2 linked regions of the Drosophila melanogaster genome follow. The protein of the gene in region 2 interacts with the protein of the main gene of each other region in a pairwise test. Each region holds a gene or a part of one and is shown on either strand. Other genes may lie near its edges.

Region 1 (9,910 bases), on a different chromosome or scaffold from region 2:
TTTAAGTGGAAAAGAAATATTGAATGTTGAACTGAAACGTCAAGCCAAGCCCGTATGATGGATTTTTTCCCCATTTAAAATATCCCCGTATATTCGATTGCAAAGAAAAGTTGTATTGTATCATAAATAATATCATTCACCACAGTCAAATATAAATGAAATCCATATACTTTATTCAAGCCTCACGATTCCCTAAAGGGAAAGGCACATCATCATTTCAATTCAGCGTTTAAAAAGTGAAAATGGCTCAGCAGCAGCTAATTAGTCAATGATGCACAAATCCGCTGATCAAAATCCGCTCAGTTGGATATATATTTAATTTATTTTCGATGGAAGGAAAGGAAAACCAATGGGGGGCAACTACGGCAAAATTGATTACGTTTAATGCGAAAATTATAAATATGAATTAAATTAATCAAATTTAATAATAATTTCAATTATATTTAAGTTAATGAGTAGTACGTCAGTAACATAGTTTAGCTTTAAGTCAGAACCAAAAAAATTAATCATTTAGATAGGATTGGATTAAACTCAATGTGTGTATGGATTTAATCTGATCGGCAGCAGCTCGCACTCCTCCTGCTCCTCCTGCGCCTATTGCTCCTCAACCGGCTTGGGACCATGGTGACTGGATAGCTGGACAACTGGACAACTGGGCTGGCCTTCACTTGTGCGCAATGGGAATCAGTGTCTCGCCGGCGGTGAGTGCTGGCAGGGGGGCGTCCACGGTCAGGACTCCGTCCTTGCTGAGGGACGAGCGGATGGACTCGGGATTGACGCCCTTGGGCAGCAGGAACTCCCGATTGTACTCCCTGTACACGCTCTTTGTGTCCGACTTCTCCTCGTGCTTGGCGTGCACCTAGTCGAAAGGAATCAGATATCCATGTTAGATAAACTCTGCAAAACATAACCATCCTGAGCAGAGACTTACCAATAGCTTCTGGTCGACGGTTTTCACAACAATTTCCTCGGGCGCATACTGGCTGACATCGAAACGCAGCTTCAGCACTTTGTTATCGCCCTCATCCTGCAAAGGGGGATATATAAGTGTTATCCTTTGGCAACCAAGAGTAGATTCCTTGCATTGCTTACCTGGATCAAGGGTGAGCTAATGTCGGAGACGTAGTTCTGTTGCTTTGGGATTCGGGATGGCAGCGCCGAGTTTGTCGTTGAGCTGCAAATAAGTTGAGACGAACATATTGTACATGAGTATTGCAGTTGAGTGTTGAAGCGAAACTTAAGAACAAGTAGACTCGAAATAAAACCAAAGGTGTTAGGGTTGCGTAGGTGAGGTAGGAACCTGGTGGAGGAGTTTGTGGTTGTTGTAGTAGTGGTTCTGGTGGTCCTAGTGCTGCGAAAGGTATTTTGCAGTGTGCGCGTAAAGGCCTCCATGCTGATGCTTCTCCGGGATGAAACTGATCCGGACGTAACGAACCCAACTTAAATGAAGCCGCGATGCTCGACGCCTGTCTAATAATAGATCTGGCTTCCGCTTGAAAGCGATGTACGTATGTATGTATGTACATGTGTACGGATCTGGGGGCAGCAGCTGTCACCCTCGAAACATAAATCTCCCCATATGTCTGTAATAATTTCTATTTTAAGGAACTACCCATAAGGGAATTGAGAATTAAGGCTTCATGTATCTAGACTACAAATAAAACTATTCCTTGCTTCCTTGAAATTGTATGCATACATATGTATCTATGTATGTACATATGTATGTATGGATCGCATCAAAACGGTTTTCTATTATGAAAAACTGCCTATACTTACAACTTTTATAATTTTATCTTTTAGTTTTAAACGAACTGTATGCATTTCTAGTTATGTATTTGCGTCTATACCGGGCTCAAAATTGTTTATAAATAAATGTTATAGTGTATATTTGGCGATTAACATGCGATGCATCTGGTAACGAGTTTCTAGTTTAGTCTGTGTGGATTGCAATAACATTAAACCAATACATTAGTTACCAAACAATAAGGGGTTGAGTGAATGAAAAAAACATTGAGGATAAACAGAAAATAAAAGTTTAGGTTGTAAACTTTCTACGTTATTGTACCTGGTAGTTGTTGTTTTTTTAGTAGAGCTTTTGTTTTAAGAGAGAGGAGAGGAGATTATTATTATGTGGAAATTATTGCGGTTGTTTAATATTTCCAAGCGGCAAGAAAGAGAAAAATAGATAGAAATTGTTTATAATGAGTTAGACAAAAAGATAACTACACATTATCGTACAAGGGTGAGCAATTTTTTAACTATTTTATAAAGGTACAGCCTTGACTCGATATTAAAGTTCTGGAATTTTTAACAATGATCAATGAAAATTTCAAGCCATTCATATGTTTTCTTGTAATTAATATTTAATCATTTTTGGTACATGTTTCTTATGCATATGTACATATATTAATGATAACTCCTTTGTTTTCCGCACTTCCAGTCCCCAATTTCCTTTAGAATGCAAGTTTATCTATTAAGATCCAAGTGTTTCAAGCATAGCATCTAAAAAAAAAGAATATGTATATTACCTACAATAGAGGAAAGTATGCATAAAATATTTACATATTTACCCAGGAAATAATTCATTGGTCCATAATTGTTCACTTTGTATTACATTTTGTCGCACTGCTTTTTCACAATAATTTTTATTTTTAGTTCAAATTAGTAAATCTACACTTATTAAAATTTTGTGATTTCATTTTAAATAATATTGTATTCTTCACTTCACTCTCACATCAATTGATAGGTAAGTCGTTTTTTTTTAAATATTTTTTATGGTTCACCTTAATTTGCATTCTTAGCTTACGGGATTTGATTGACCGTTAAGCCGCTGTGCGTGTCGGCGATGAAGCCAAAATGTATGTGTGTATCTGTGTGTGTGTGCATGCGAGCGAGAGTCGTTGATAAGCGGCCATCAATTGGCACTCCGCAAATTCTGAGCAGAGGCAGAGAAAGCTTATCAATCGGAGCCGAAACGTGAACGTGCGTGGGCTTATTGGCGACCTTGCAATGTGCTTTGCGAGGTTGATCGCCCCTCGAAGAGAGAAATCAATAGCGCGCTAATGATAAGTACCAATAACCGTTAGCCGCCTGGCCAAAGTTTCTTTGGACAGCATGAAGAGGCACCTGCCCTCCCACTCTGGCAGCCGCTCTCACTCCCACCCTCTCCGGCCAGCCCACGTTTTTACATGTGTGTGAGTTGTGTGTGTGTGGTGCGACTACAATATCTCGCTGGCATCTGATGACAATGATGTCATGCATATTTTTTCGTTATTGAAAAGCCAAACGAAAGGAAACCAAAGAAGAACGAAAATAAACACGGGCGCGAGAGGCGGCCAAAAAACCAGAACAAGCGCAAACAAAATGGCTCTCTTTAGTTGTTTGCGGTGTACGCGTGTGTGCGTGTGTGTGTGAACAAATGTCGAATTAAAATATCGATTATCGACGACGATCGGCGTTTTGTCATCGATTGAAATCGAATTGAATAGCATCGAGTCGAAGCGCAGCGCAATAGCTAAAAATTGACATGATATCATCGCAGTTCGCTGCTCATTTGAATTATCAGCATCCAGCCAACAATATTGGCAACTAAATCGCCGCAGCGTGTGCTCATCGCAACTGAAAACTGTCCGTGTGTGCGAAAGCTTTTCGCACAGATCTATTTGCTGGTTAAATATGTGCATATGTATGTATGTATGTACGATCCTAGCGCACTTATTTGTTTAAACTGTGCGCACACACAATGAGTCTATAAATTAGGCAAACCGTTGGCATTGCCTATGTTTGGTAGCCATCCCATCCCATCCGATCCGATCTGGCCAATACAATTTCCATGCATTTGCATGAGATAATCGCACCAATCTATTTTACTGGGAACCGCATCCAAATCCATCTGAATCCGCACATTGTTCATATCTGAAGGCGCCAGCATTGATGTGCGGTCTTTGCTTATGGCCAAGTTGGTTAAATGAGGCCCTGCACTACACACAATCTATCGTTAGTATGTGACAGTACGTACATACATACACATATGTATGTATATACATACATATGTTCAAGAAAGTTTTATTTAAAATGTGCAAATGGCCTGAACAGCTTTTGGCAGCTACGCAGGAATTGCATGTTTGTAAACATGTTTTTCTTATGCCATAATAATAAAATATACATTGTTGGGAATGTATCCAGTTAAAAGCATAAACTATTGCTTCAAGTGGCAACTTCGGTAGGGCATAGATACACCTACCTGTATGGATTTATTGCCCTGTATATGGGGCGTGCGTTTATTCCGTGCTGAGTCATTCAGATATCACGCAGCGCTTCAATTGACAACACGCCACAGCCACAGCCAAGCCGCTTAGGTCAAAGGTTGCGGACAGTGGGCAGTTATGGGCGAATGATTGAATTATTTGGCAAGTATATATCCAATACTACTACTAAGCTACTAAACTACGTGGCCAATCTGTGGCGATTATTAGGCTAATCGCCCGAAGCAAGCCCTGGCGCACAACTTATGCCGCCACTGTGAGTTTCCCTTCATTTCCAATTAAATTTGCAGCCAGGAGGGCACAATACCAATTTGGGTTAATTTCCTTTCACTGCCAACTTTGACGTTGAATGGGCAAAGTTGTGGAGAGGAGCGCTACCAAGTTCTGAAACAGACGGAAGTCTGGTGGGGGGGAGGGGGGTGGAGTCGTAACATTTCTGTTGTGGCCATGCAAATGCAGTGGCGACCATGGCGAAGGCAACAACAAATAGAGTCCATCGGTTCGATTGCGTCATACGGCGAGGTCGTCCCAATAGCAACCAAAACTGGCGCCCACGCAACGCAACTCCAATGGAAAGGCTAACGAGACGCGCAACCGCGACGGCGTCGGCGACATAGTATTTGCCATTCGCCTTTGGGGCATTGTTTGTTTATTAATCGCTGATTTGGGCAATAAACCTATGTTCATTGAAAATGCCACTCGTAACATTCAACTGGAATTTCTCTCTCTCCCTCTCTCTGATTCGTATGAATATGCGAGGGTGTTAAAATACCGCCGAATCACTTAATTGACTTGCAAATGGAAATAGATTGCTAGGTAAACGCGTTTGTCACTTATGTATGCTTTAAAAACAAGTAACTACAAATGGAAATAGTTAGAGATTTAATGAACATTATTCATGTGTGCCACCGATCGTTTCAATGCTTTGCGTTTTCAAATATTTAATTTTGCTCGCAGAGACCAGATTTTAATATCTTATCTCATTATCAACAATTACATTTTTCTGCTCAGCTAGAAACCCACACACACACACACATATAACGGAATATCTTGGCACAGGTGATTCTCAAAGTTCGAAAAATTCCGTTATGCCCTACATAACGGTTGCATAAACCGTATGGGACTCGAGATCGAGCGAAAGGGGAGGGCACAAGACGCTGGCTAGCCATGTGCCGGGGCGGGGGAGGGGGATTTACTAGCGGGTGGCGGGCAGCAGATACACATGTGTTTCTTGGCCGGAGACAGCGGCGGAGAATTTAGAACTGGTGACTCATCCTCCCCCAGAGCGACGGCAAAGAAATACACATAGTGTATCTGGGGCGAGAATTGAAGCGGGCCGCTCGCCTCCTATGAGGCCCACTGTTTAGTACATACATATGTATGTATGCACGTATGTACATATGTACATACGTAGGAGAATCTGTGGGTGAAGAGCTCCAGACCAGTGGGCGATGTGGCAAGATGTGCGCCTATATTTAGAGGAGCCAACAACGAGGCGATGAGTCGAGCGATTCGGGATTGGGTTCCATCGCAGTACACCCGGTAGAATCAGGCTATGTGGAATTATCCCAGTGTTGGGATCCCACTTGTATCACTATTACGCTTACCTGGTGGACTCGAAGAAGTTCGCCTCGCGGTTCATCAGCTCGTGACGGAACTTGGCCATCTCCTCCTCCATTTTGCGCATCTCGGAGTCGAAGCGCTCGCGGATGTTGCTGAACTCCGTGTCGATGACGCTGAAGTCGCCCAGCTTGATGGGGATATTCCTCTTGTTAGCCTCGGCCATTGTTGTGCTGTTTGTGGTGGTTTATTTGGTGGTTGCTTCGCTAGATGGAATCTCCAATCTCTTCGCTGTACACTGTATACCGTATATACTGTATATACTGTATACCGTTCTATTATTCTCTGTTCTGTTCTGTTCTGCTCAACGCGCTTTCGAGCTTGTTCACTTGCTAATCGACGGAGCAACCAAAAAAAAAGGGAACTCGATGGGTTTTCTATATGTATTCGAAACTCAAGACGTTCAAGTGTGTGATTTCGGTTGGACGTATCGCACAGATAGCCGCGTTTCAATTTCTGAACTGTTTTGCATTCACAGTGTGTCTTTGCTTTTATAGCTTTCGTACCGATTGTACTTCGATTGCCGCTGCGCAGCAGTGTGGCGATATCGATAGACCGATGAAGCCGCATTTAGTCATCGATTTGCGGATTTGATTATGTTTCTATTGCCATTGGATCAAAAAGAACTTCTATCCGCAAAGGGAATTGTTTAAGCGTACTTTAACCACTAATCGTTAGCGGACCACCCAAAACACTATATTCGCTGTATTGATTTTGTATTTTATGGAAATAATGACGCACGGGGAACACATTTAGAAGTGAAACAATAGTTGTAAGACAAATTTGGTTTATACAAAATGACCGAAAACAAGGAAGCCATGATTTATTTTCCGTTAATAAGCTAGTAATTCATAAATGCAATGAAATAACATAACACATTTCAAAGCTCCTAAAAAACTTTCTAGGAACAAGTGTTCAATTAGCAACAATTAATTAGTTGATGATCAACTTGATCTTGATAAGTATGCTTAAAACTTCTCGCGTGGGAGCCATTCAGTCATGGAAGTGAGTTCCTCGAACTGTGATTCCAATTGCATCTGGTTCAGCATTTGTGTGCTGTGAGTGCGAGTGGAAAGTGTGAGTATGAGTCGTGTTGAGTTAACCGGTTAACCGATCAACGCTTCCTACCGTTTTGGGAAATGATCTTCGGTATAGAGAGAAAGAGAGAGAGAGAGAGAGAGAGTTGCACATTGGTGGAAAGTGCATTTTCCGTCCTGCGGTGGGTTGGCATTATCCATCGTCCTAAAATAGAACATCTATGGCGTGATGGCCCACGATATCTTGTCCATATTCGCGGGGTTACTTACACCCAGAGCTCATCATCATTAAGACCTTAAATCAAAAAGCCAATTCCGCCCATTGTGCGAATCGATAAATCCCAATATTAGACCGGGTGGGTGGAGAACGTTGGCGGCCCAAATACACGCAGAAAAATATATGTCATATATACATATGTAAATTTAAATATCTCTATGCTGAGCTAAGATTGGAAATTGTACTGTTGTAAGCTTGTTAGCTATAATAGGATATGTTTCCTAATCTAACAGAGAGGCATTATAGTATCTTAGTATCTGTGTCGTTTTCTGCCAGTGTGCTTGGCCATATCCATGGTACTACCCACTCCGCCGCATCGGTTTGTTTGTAAACAAATGCGAAATGACTCAGCCGCGTGACATTGGCGGTCGGAGTCGAGAATCGGGAATCGAGCCAAGTCGAGTCCATTCGATTCGATTCAATTCCTTTTAGGGAGCGTCGGCCAGGGGAATTAAAATTTAAATTGAAATTAATGAGAGCCGGATTGCAAAGTTGCAACTGCAGAAAAAATGTGCGATATATATTCATAAGTTTTATGAACCATATGCATATTTAGCTAGACAAACTAGATTTTTCTTCAACTTAACAATTGCATCTCTCATCCATAAGAAAACTCATTAGCTGGAAATTTGATATCTTTTAAAGCTGTTATTGCCTGCACATAACTTACATTCTTTTGTTTTTTTTTTTTAAGTGCAAGTGCGACATATTAAAATGCAATATTTTGAATCCGTGACCGTTTTACTGCTCGAAATTCCATCGGGGACAACGGCAGTTGTGCCATCAAAATAATTATAGACTTAATCACGAATTTCGAAAATAAAACGACAATCATCGTGGCTTAACGGCTGAGGTGTTTTCATTGTACATCCATACATACATGTGTACATATGTACATATGTATTTTTCACAGCGCCCACATGCTCGCAATGGCTAATGGCTAATGCCCCCTGTCCAAACAACAAACTCATTTTCATCAATAATCTCGACCTTGAAGTCCCCAGTGTCCCCACAAAGCATACATATCGGTATTCAAACAAAATTAATTTTTGAAAAGAGGATTCCAAGTTTGCACATTCGTGCACGTTTCAGTCTTAATTCAATTGTATTTTGTGCCTTTTCAAATCATTCAAATCAATTTTGTTTGATTTCATAAATTCCAATGATCTAGGTGGATCTAATAAATATTGTAGGAATCATCTAGAAACATGAGTGTGCAGTATGTGTATTATTGTTTTGCCAAGCCAACTGAAAGAACGTACATATTGTACATACATATGTACATACGAATGTACAAATCTCGTGAAGATCGACAAGAAATTGGGAAAACAAATTTTCCCCACGTCACCAGAGAATTCTCGACGAAGCTAAAGCAGAGCAAGTGTATATACATATATTTATATATATATATATAAGTGTATATATATAAGTGCTCTAGTCATTTGCCGGCATGTCATCCCACTTAAACTCATAGTCCATTCCAAATCGAAAAAAACAAAAACAAAATAAAACGAAATGTATAGCTAGCCAGCGAGCCAGCAGCCACCTAGCCACCCCCTCGCAGTCAGAAATCAATCAAAATTTACTCGCGATGATTTAGCATGGAATTTTTGGTCGACGATGAGCGCTCACTAATTTTTCAGCTCGACCAAATAGCGATCTACTCCTGCGTGGGCAGACTCATCCACTGGCGGCCAGTGGATGGCTTCTGCTTGACGACAGCATCGGAATATATGTCAGCCGTCGTGGTATTCAAACAAAGTATGCTTTCGCCCATGCGGATTGTTGGATTGTTGGACATGTATGTACATATTTATGTACATAAGTGTAAACGCGTATTACGTATACGTACGAGTGCAGCGCCTGTGCGGGCACTATTTAATTATAGGCGGGCAGATACACAAATTAAACTTTATGAAGCGCAAAAACGACAGTCGGCTATTTATTGTTCGAAACCGTAAGCCGTTCACGGCTTAAATCATTTTTGTTTAGCACCAGAGCCGTGAGTTGCTCAATTAAATTACACCCACAAAGCTGTAGCTGTAATTCAATTCCATTCTAGCCCGGTGACATATTTTTGAAATATATCCGCTGATGTCATGGATAGTGCGTCATCAAAATTTAAATTCAATAACAATGGACTAATAAATGAAGCAATTACCACAATTTTCCTACATATGCATATACAGAACATTTTGGTTTGGTTGTCTGTTTAATTGATAAATTTACAGCTAAGCAATTTATAAATACAAAAGGAAATTTAATAGAATTTGAAGAATTTTTAGGTAATAAAATAATTTATGTTCATATTACTGAAATGGAATTTATATATATATATATAATTTTTTGGTTTAGCACAGAAATGGCTGTAACAATGGCCATTTCAAAATCAAAAGTTTGAACTACGCGCGCATATAATCACGATATCCGATGAGTAATGTTATCGGTAGATAGACAACCCTGCCGCCAAAAGTCCATAGAGCTGGACAACGATCGATAGCCCTCGTGCTCGATATATCGATACTGCCGTGGTTGCTTCACTGTATGCGTGTGTATATCTGGCATCGCAGCGAAAAAAATAAATAATAATAAACAATTGCCACCAAATTGTTGATTTTGGGTATCAAGTTTCAAAGCCGCGAGTTCTGAACCCACCAACACGACCATGTCCAACTACTACAGTCTACTACTACAAGCGGACACCTACGACG
Region 2 (8,045 bases):
AGCGACTGCTCTGTGCAGGATTCAATCTTGCTAGACACCGCCACTGGCTTGGCCTGGATATCAATAATGCTCTCCTTAGGGATACTGAAAAAATAAAGACGTTTTTGAATTATTAAATGAATTATTAAATTTGCAACAACAAAAATTCTAAGCAATGTTTATCATTTCATAAACCTTTAATTGATTTCACGATATCTTATCAAAGTATGATGAAAATATCTATATGGCCTGCGCAATTCAAATTCGATATTGTGCTTTTTTGGGTTACGGCTCTTAAGATAAACTTAAGATATACGAGGGAATATTTATAACTTACTTTCCCGCAAATTTGACCATCTGTTTGGAGATAACATCACCGACAGCCAGGATGCACTGCACCGTGCTGCTCTGCTGGCGCAGGATGAGGAAGCACTGCTTTCCCTTGGCTCTCGAAGTGTGGACGCGTCCTCGCACCCAGACCAGTCCTTTGCCCACCTGACCGCTTAGTTCCGAAACCGGGACAAAGTTGCGTTCACTGCGTTTGTCCTTGGATTGGATCATTTCCGAGAGGCCATATCTTCCGGCGGCGTGATCCTCCGCAGAATCGCCACCAGCGTTATTGGCCGCCGCGGTGGAGGCGTTCTCCGCTTTTTGTTCGGCTTTCTGTACACATAGAGATTAAAGCTGTTATCAGAGGTTCAAGAAAAACAAAACGCCACGTCCCCAAAACAAAGATTCTCACCTTAGCGGCCTTGGCCAGCTTTTTGGCTCCCTTCTTGGAGACCTGCTCCCCGTTGGCCACTTGCTCTTTGTCCTCGACCATCTTGGAATGCACAAAAACGGCTGTAAGGAAGGGAGGGTTGTATATTTTACAAGAGGGTCACAAAACCAGAACGTAGACCACACAGTTTCGATAAGCGAGCAACAGGCGAAAAAGGAGGAGTATTGTGTGCGTTGCGTCATGGTTTTATAAATAGCACTTGGCTGATGAAGTGCCCCATTTGCGAATAAGTGATATTGTCTTCCGGACTGCAGTTCAGTCACCCAGTCTCCTCCTCCAATAGCCATATGTCCACAAATATTTCCGGGGACAGAGAAACACTCTTTGTCTAGCGGCTCGCACATAACCTAAACTTTGCGGTCTTTTATCTGATCATTTACCGATTCTATTCACTTCCTGTCTCTTCCCCTATTGGTTATTTCAATGGTGCATTCGAGTGCACTCGACTTACCAGCTAGATCTTGCCCTTTTAATACACAAACGAATTGATTTCACGAGCGTCGTGTACTATTGCACATGCCACCAGCGCGGTGCAGTCTAGAGGATTTCTATCGCGGCTATCGATATATATCGATTGTTCCATGTGTGCTTCAGGGTGGCGCATTTCTGATTTTGTGACGTCACATGTCCAGCATCCTATGAATTAAGTTGCGCTTAGCTAGTGCTGAAAAATAATATTAGTAAATAAGGAGTATAGTATAGTATAAGAGTTAGTAAGTGCAGAATAATCTCAAAAATAATGAGCATAAGAAAATCTACAGAAGTGCCGTAGTTGAGAAGCTTAAAAAACAAAAGCATCTGTAGCATTTCTCAACATCTGGTGAAGCATTCTTAGTTTAATTACAATACTCTGTATGTTTTAAACATATATAAACGATAGTATATAATTTACAGAAAATGCGCCATAGTGTGGTACGTGTCAAATAAAATTTAAACGCAATAATGTTTAAGCCGAGTTTAATGTAGTCTGTAAATGTACCACTTTCTAAAAAAATTAGTTACACCACCATCGATAATTACAGCTGCGTTCCGATAGCAGTCAGCAGGCACATCTCTGTTAATTTATAGCAAAAAAAAAAAACAAATATTCAGAAAAACAACATTCAATTGTTTGTTTTGATCAAATAGCAACGTAATCCAGAGGTAATTAGTCATCCAAAGAGCATAATTTGAATAATGGGAAGATAGTAGGTCACGTCAAAGAAAATTATAATAGTGTGGTTTCCCGGTAATTTCGAGAAGCTGGCAATTTCCAAAAGTGAGTCACCACTTTTCCTACACCGAGCTGCTGTGTATGTATTATTTGCGCTGGTGGTGCTCCGGCTGAACTAATTTAATAGCTGCGACTACGTTAAAGCGCTTAAGCTCGCAGTTCAGCGTGTAGGTAAGGTTCATAAATGGCCCCAGCTATTTTCAGAGAACCCACACAAGAAAGCTTGAGAGGTACACGTCATGGGGGCCACAACAAACGAAACGGTGCCGAAGTTTCTCAGGCATTACTATAGTGGCAAATTGATTGATAATTAAAGTTGCATGCCACCAAAGGTGTGCACATTTCTTAGACACTAATTAAATTAGCTAATGATTGCTTATCATCGTGTCTTTGCAGGTAAAACAACAACGAAACAATGCAAGGTGAGTGGAATAAGGACAAGCCGTACTAACACATTCTTTTTGGATCTAAGTTTACTCCACAGCGGTTTCGGAATTACATAGAAATCAGAGCGAAGTCCCTCGAGAATGTCCTGGCAAAGTGTTCCCCAGTATCCCCAATACCAAGGTTCAATCTTCTTAACTTCTAAGCGAGTGTTACAGCTTACCCGTTTTCTGATCGCATGCTTTTGTTCGTCCCGGGGCTTGTCGACCCGTTGAATGCTCAGTAATTGCCCAGAGCTGATTCATTTCCATTACCTCTCTCTCTTTACACATCGTACTTGTCCCTTCTTATCATGGTTGTATGTACATATTTGCTCGAGATTGTTTCTTGGTTTACCGCATCTCTTCGTCACGGCGAAGCGTTTCATTTAGATTTTACAGTTCTTGGTAGACAGATTGCTGTAGCGAACGCGTTGGTAGCACCGTTTTAGATGACAAACTAAAACGAGATGTCTTATTTCGCAGATCCCAACCAGCAGTACAACTATGGCGGCGGTAATCCCCCGCAGGGAGGATATGGTGGATATCCACCTCAGGGCGGCTATCCACCTCAAGGACCGCCGCAAGGCTACCCACCCTATGCACAAGGAGGTGCTCAACCCTATCCACAGCCCTACGGACAGGGGCCTCCACCGGGAGGTTATGCTCCCCAGCCGGGATTTATCCAACCACCACCATCTGCTGGCGGCTACGGAGCCTACGATGATCCGGAGAGCCAGCCCAAGAACTTCTCGTTTGACGACCAAAGCATCCGTCGCGGATTCATACGTAAGGTGTACCTGATTCTAATGGTGAGCTTTAGATAATTCTGCATAGAAGGCATGTACAATAAGTTATCATTTCTGTGTCATTAGGGACAACTAATCGTCACTTTTGGAGCTGTTGCCCTGTTTGTATACCACGAGGGCACTAAAACCTTTGCCAGGAATAACATGTGGCTCTTTTGGGTTGCCCTCGGCGTAATGTTAGTAACCATGCTGTCTATGGCTTGCTGCGAAAGTGTGCGCCGCCAAACACCGACGAACTTCATATTCTTGGGTCTGTTTACAGCAGCTCAGTCGTTCTTAATGGGAGTTTCCGCAACCAAATATGCTCCGAAAGAGGTGAGTACTTCGATTTAATTACGATATGTAGTAAAGTGATACGATATCTGTTTTCCAGGTTCTCATGGCGGTGGGCATAACAGCAGCGGTTTGCTTGGCCCTAACGATCTTCGCCTTGCAGACAAAGTACGACTTTACTATGATGGGCGGTATTTTGATCGCCTGCATGGTGGTGTTCCTGATCTTCGGCATCGTGGCCATCTTTGTAAAGGGAAAGATCATAACACTGGTGTACGCCTCGATTGGAGCGCTGCTCTTCTCCGTTTATCTCATCTACGACACACAGTTAATGATGGGCGGCGAGCACAAATACTCTATCAGTCCCGAGGAGTACATCTTTGCGGCACTAAACCTCTACCTGGACATCATCAATATCTTCATGTACATTCTGACTATAATCGGCGCATCGCGCGACTAAGTTCCGCTCTATTTCCAAATATTGTTTGCAGCTTAATCGGGTTATTCAGTAACCTGGAATACACGAATATTGTTGTCGCGTAATCTCATCGGTGTGCTCCCCCAGTGGAGGTAATCTTCAACTAACGAATTACTCAAATACTTACAAATCTATCTACTTCGTGTTGTGTTTGCCCATTTTCCCCGTTTCCTTCTAGTTCTAAATGTCAACTAAGGCTATATGAACTACTTACTTTTTGTTATGTATGTTTTATTGTTGCTTAAGTTGAGGCGCAAACCAAGTGGATATTTCCAAATTTAAAAATAAAAAAATTATATATATGTATGTATACCAAATGATATGCCATTCAGATAAACGAAACAACAATAAATAGTCACGTATAAACATATTTATGTAAAAATATACATATAAGCAAGTTGGCTTGCAGTTGTTAACACATAAAACTTAACCGTGTGTAATAACCAAGGAATCCCGATTTTCAACTATGAATCAAGTACCGAACATTGTAATCCCTGCAGCGACACTGAGTTTAAAGTCAACAATAAAGCGCATCTATTTATTAAAGCCACAGACCCCTGCATTGTAGGGCTTCCGTCAGTGGTTCATCCAGTTCAACCAGCCAGCCACCACCAGATGCAACTTTAGTCTGCGACTTCAGAGCGACGCCGTTGGTTGGATTACTTCTACACTCCAGACCATTATCGTCTGCATTTTTGCTTTATCATTGCTTAAGTTAACTTTGTTATCTGCACCACCACAGAAAGAAGTCCGGGTGTTTTAATTTCGGGTTGGCCCCATATCATGCGTTTGACCCGGCCACCTGTTCAGTAGTTCGTGTGAATTCCAGCAGGGCGTAGCTATAAAATGTATCACTACCAGCAAGGTAAGTACCGCCCGGATTGGGCTGAAACCAAACCAAATTGGCTACGGAAAGGTGCTTTAGATTAGATAATCGATTTGGCTATTGTATAAAGCTTATTGACTGCATCGTTTTCTCTCAGTAAGAGCCAACAAAATATATCTCTCTCGGCGCATTTTCATCTGATAAGACAGCTGAAAAGGTTTCGTTATGAGCCCAAAAACAGTGATTCACCCAATCGAAGGGAGAGTGAACAACCATTTTGAAATTGTATGGTGGCAATATCAGTTACTCACCGACATCAATACACAAATCTTATCTAGAGTAGAAGTGTGGGGCTGTGATAAGAGCCGGTAACCGGCTAATCTCAACTCATACGTCCATATGGGAACACCTAGAAAGGGCGATTCGGTTCCATTAAGCTGAAACACTAGCACGCTGCCGGCAGTCGGGCAAAGAGAGCACCGTAACTTAAGTGACTAAAGTTTAGTCATAGCAATTTAGCCATGAGCAGCGACAATCATTTTCAGTACGGTTAGTCATTGCATTAACTTTCCTGCTTCCTTGAATTGTCTTCCAACCACACAGGCGATGAAACTGGCGCATACACAGATGCGGAAGCGGACAAGAGCTTCGCCTTCGATGACCAGAGCATCCGGAAGGGATTTATTCGAAAGGTCTACTTGATATTGATGGTAAGTGCTGATATTTGAACTGAAAAAGAAAATATCAATTTAAATTGTCCAAAAATAAAGGTATTTGCTTCACTACTTGTCTGCTTTGGGTCACTTTAAAACTTCAAGATTTATTGACTTCCTGCAATCTAATTTTGATATCGCGCTCTATTTCTAGTGCCAATTGCTGATCACTTTCGGTTTTGTTAGCGTATTTACGTTCTCGAAAGCTTCGCAGGAATGGGTGCAAAAAAATCCGGCACTGTTTTGGATAGCCTTGGTAAGTTTTTACGACTTTTATGCTAAATATTGAATACAAATATATCCAATTTTTAAACTCAGGCCGTTCTTATCGTGACCATGATCTGTATGGCCTGCTGCGAAAGTGTACGCCGTAAGACGCCTCTTAACTTCATCTTTCTTTTCCTGTTCACCGTGGCGGAGTCGTTCCTTCTGGGTATGGTCGCCGGACAGTTTGAGGCTGATGAGGTCCTGATGGCAGTGGGAATTACGGCCGCGGTGGCCCTGGGACTCACCCTGTTTGCCCTGCAGACCAAATACGATTTTACGATGTGCGGAGGAGTGTTGGTGGCCTGTCTGGTGGTCTTCATCATTTTTGGTATAATCGCTATCTTCATACCGGGCAAGGTGATCGGACTGGTCTATGCCTCCTTGGGAGCATTGCTCTTCTCCGTTTACTTGGTGTACGATACCCAGTTGATGCTGGGTGGTAATCATAAGTACTCCATCAGTCCTGAGGAATACATCTTCGCCGCTCTAAACCTCTACCTGGACATTATTAACATCTTCATGTACATACTGACCATTATCGGATTGTCTCGCAATTAGACTGGTCATTATGATCCATAGCTTCTATTCCAGTTTTAGAAATGTAACTTAATTTTATGTGCCCAGTGCCACCTTAGCCGGAAAGAAATACAAGACGACTAACTAATCCAACATTGTCGAGTGCTCGCTTTGGTTTGGGATTTTGGCTGGGATTGGGGCGCGCTCAACTAGTTCGAACCTTGTCCACACCGCGGTGTCCAATTAATTAATGCGCACGAGAGGCCGTAATGTAATTATGTTCAATCAGCCCCTGCAGCGCCACCAGTTCCTGGACTGGATTGAATGTGGACAAGGTGATCGGCGCGATCGTCAGTTGCGCGAGCGTCTGGCTAACGGGCGGACATGGATTTCGACGAGGTGCTGCGGGAGGTGGGCTCCTTTGGTCTCTACCAGAAGGTCATCATCTGTTCCGTTCTATTGCCCGCCGCGCTGCCCTGTGCCTTCCACGCATATAGGTTGGTCATCCTTCTTTGGTATTCTATAATAATAATATTGAAAAAGAAATCTTAATGGGATTTTCACATCCATGCGATAGCATCATTTGGGGTCTACCTTTTCGCCTCTTAAAGGTACCTCATCAGAAAATTTTCATAATTATCTAAAATGATTATTTTCTAGCCAGTTGTTCATAGCGGCCACACCTCAGCACTTTTGTCGCGTTCCTGAGCTGGAGCCCTGGACGCAGGACTATGTGCAGCTTGTTAAGAACCTGAGCATTCCGCGTAATCGCAATGGAGCCTATGCCGAGTGTTCCATGTACTCGAGAAATTACACCGATATAGTGCGCTATCTTGAGTATCGACCTCCTCCGGATTTGTTGCGACAACAGGCAGAGGATTTGCTCAAGTTGCAGCCGGATACGACGCAGGTGGTGCCGTGCCAACATGGCTGGCACTACGACAAGTCCATATACTCAAGTACGGTGGTTCAAGAGGTGGGGATTTTCCAATTGGATATGGTATGTTAGAATTATTTCCTCATATATCTTGCAGTGGAACCTGGTGTGCGACCGCAGCTTCCTTGTGACTTTGGCGCTTGTGGTCTTCGGTGTTGGCGGATTGCTAGGTAACTATGTATTTGGATATCTAGTGGATCTGTGGGGCAGGCGGCCATCCTTTTACGCTTATCTGCTGCTCGAGATCATTGCCTGTGCGGCCAGTGCCTTTGCCTGGAACTATTACACTTGGTTGGGCCTGCGCTTTGTGGTGGGACTGACGGTGCCAGCTATTCTGGCGAGTCCCTATGTACTGGCCATTGAGCTGGTGGGACCGGAGAGGAGAGTTTTTTGCACCATCGTCTCGAATATCGCCTACTCCTTGGGCTTGGTGGTATTAGCCGGAGTTATCTATATCGTACGTGATTGGCGGGAACTCAGTTTGGCAGTGTCCATGCCTTTGCTGATGCTTTTCTCCTGCTTCTTCGTGCTTCCGGAATCACCACGATGGTTAATGGCCGTGGGAAAAACCAGGAGGGCCATTAAAATTCTCAAAGTAATGGCCAGAGTGAATGGTGTGCGCGTAAATCGGGATTTTGTGGAACGGTTGCAGCGAAAACTTGTCATCACAAGGGCTGCGGAAACCAAATCTTCAATGACCACCCACTATGGGATATTGGACTTGTTTCGGGGACCCAATATGCGTCGGAAGACCCTGATCATAACCCTTATTTGGTTTGCCAACACCAGTGTCTACGTGGGACTGAGTTATTATGCTCCTGCGCTAGGAGG

What was found. The genes of interacting proteins can lie anywhere in the genome.
Region 1: the proteins of Nmda1 (region 2) and CG14207 interact in a two-hybrid assay, tested with the Drosophila melanogaster proteins (one large-scale study listed by BioGRID).

Annotation. Positions count from the first base shown.
Region 1 is NC_004354.4:19,601,645-19,611,554, reverse strand, and holds CG14207 (uncharacterized protein), read right to left. Parts: upstream 6,357-9,910; 5' UTR 6,052-6,356; coding exon 5,873-6,051; intron 2,093-5,872; coding exon 2,066-2,092; intron 1,418-2,065; exon of another isoform or gene 1,393-1,417; coding exon of another isoform or gene 1,301-1,392; intron 1,175-1,300; coding exon 1,093-1,174; intron 1,028-1,092; coding exon 932-1,027; intron 860-931; coding exon 665-859; 3' UTR 282-664; downstream 1-281. Other genes in the region: CG14220 (uncharacterized protein), read left to right, coding at 9,865-9,910.
Region 2 is NT_033778.4:12,873,547-12,881,591, reverse strand, and holds Nmda1 (N-methyl-D-aspartate receptor-associated protein), read left to right. Parts: upstream 1-1,793; 5' UTR 1,794-1,903; intron 1,904-1,935; exon of another isoform or gene 1,936-2,144; intron 2,145-2,218; exon of another isoform or gene 2,219-2,388; coding exon of another isoform or gene 2,389-2,395; exon of another isoform or gene 2,396-2,445; 5' UTR 2,446-2,500; coding exon 2,501-2,540; exon of another isoform or gene 2,541-2,865; coding exon of another isoform or gene 2,866-2,881; coding exon 2,882-3,207; intron 3,208-3,270; coding exon 3,271-3,519; intron 3,520-3,577; coding exon 3,578-3,937; 3' UTR 3,938-4,498; downstream 4,499-8,045. Other genes in the region: AspRS (Aspartyl-tRNA synthetase), read right to left, coding at 1-84, 317-642, 722-802; Lfg (lifeguard), read left to right, coding at 4,802-4,820, 5,385-5,491, 5,649-5,750, 5,813-6,319; Balat (Beta-alanine transporter), read left to right, coding at 6,662-6,774, 6,938-7,253, 7,312-8,045.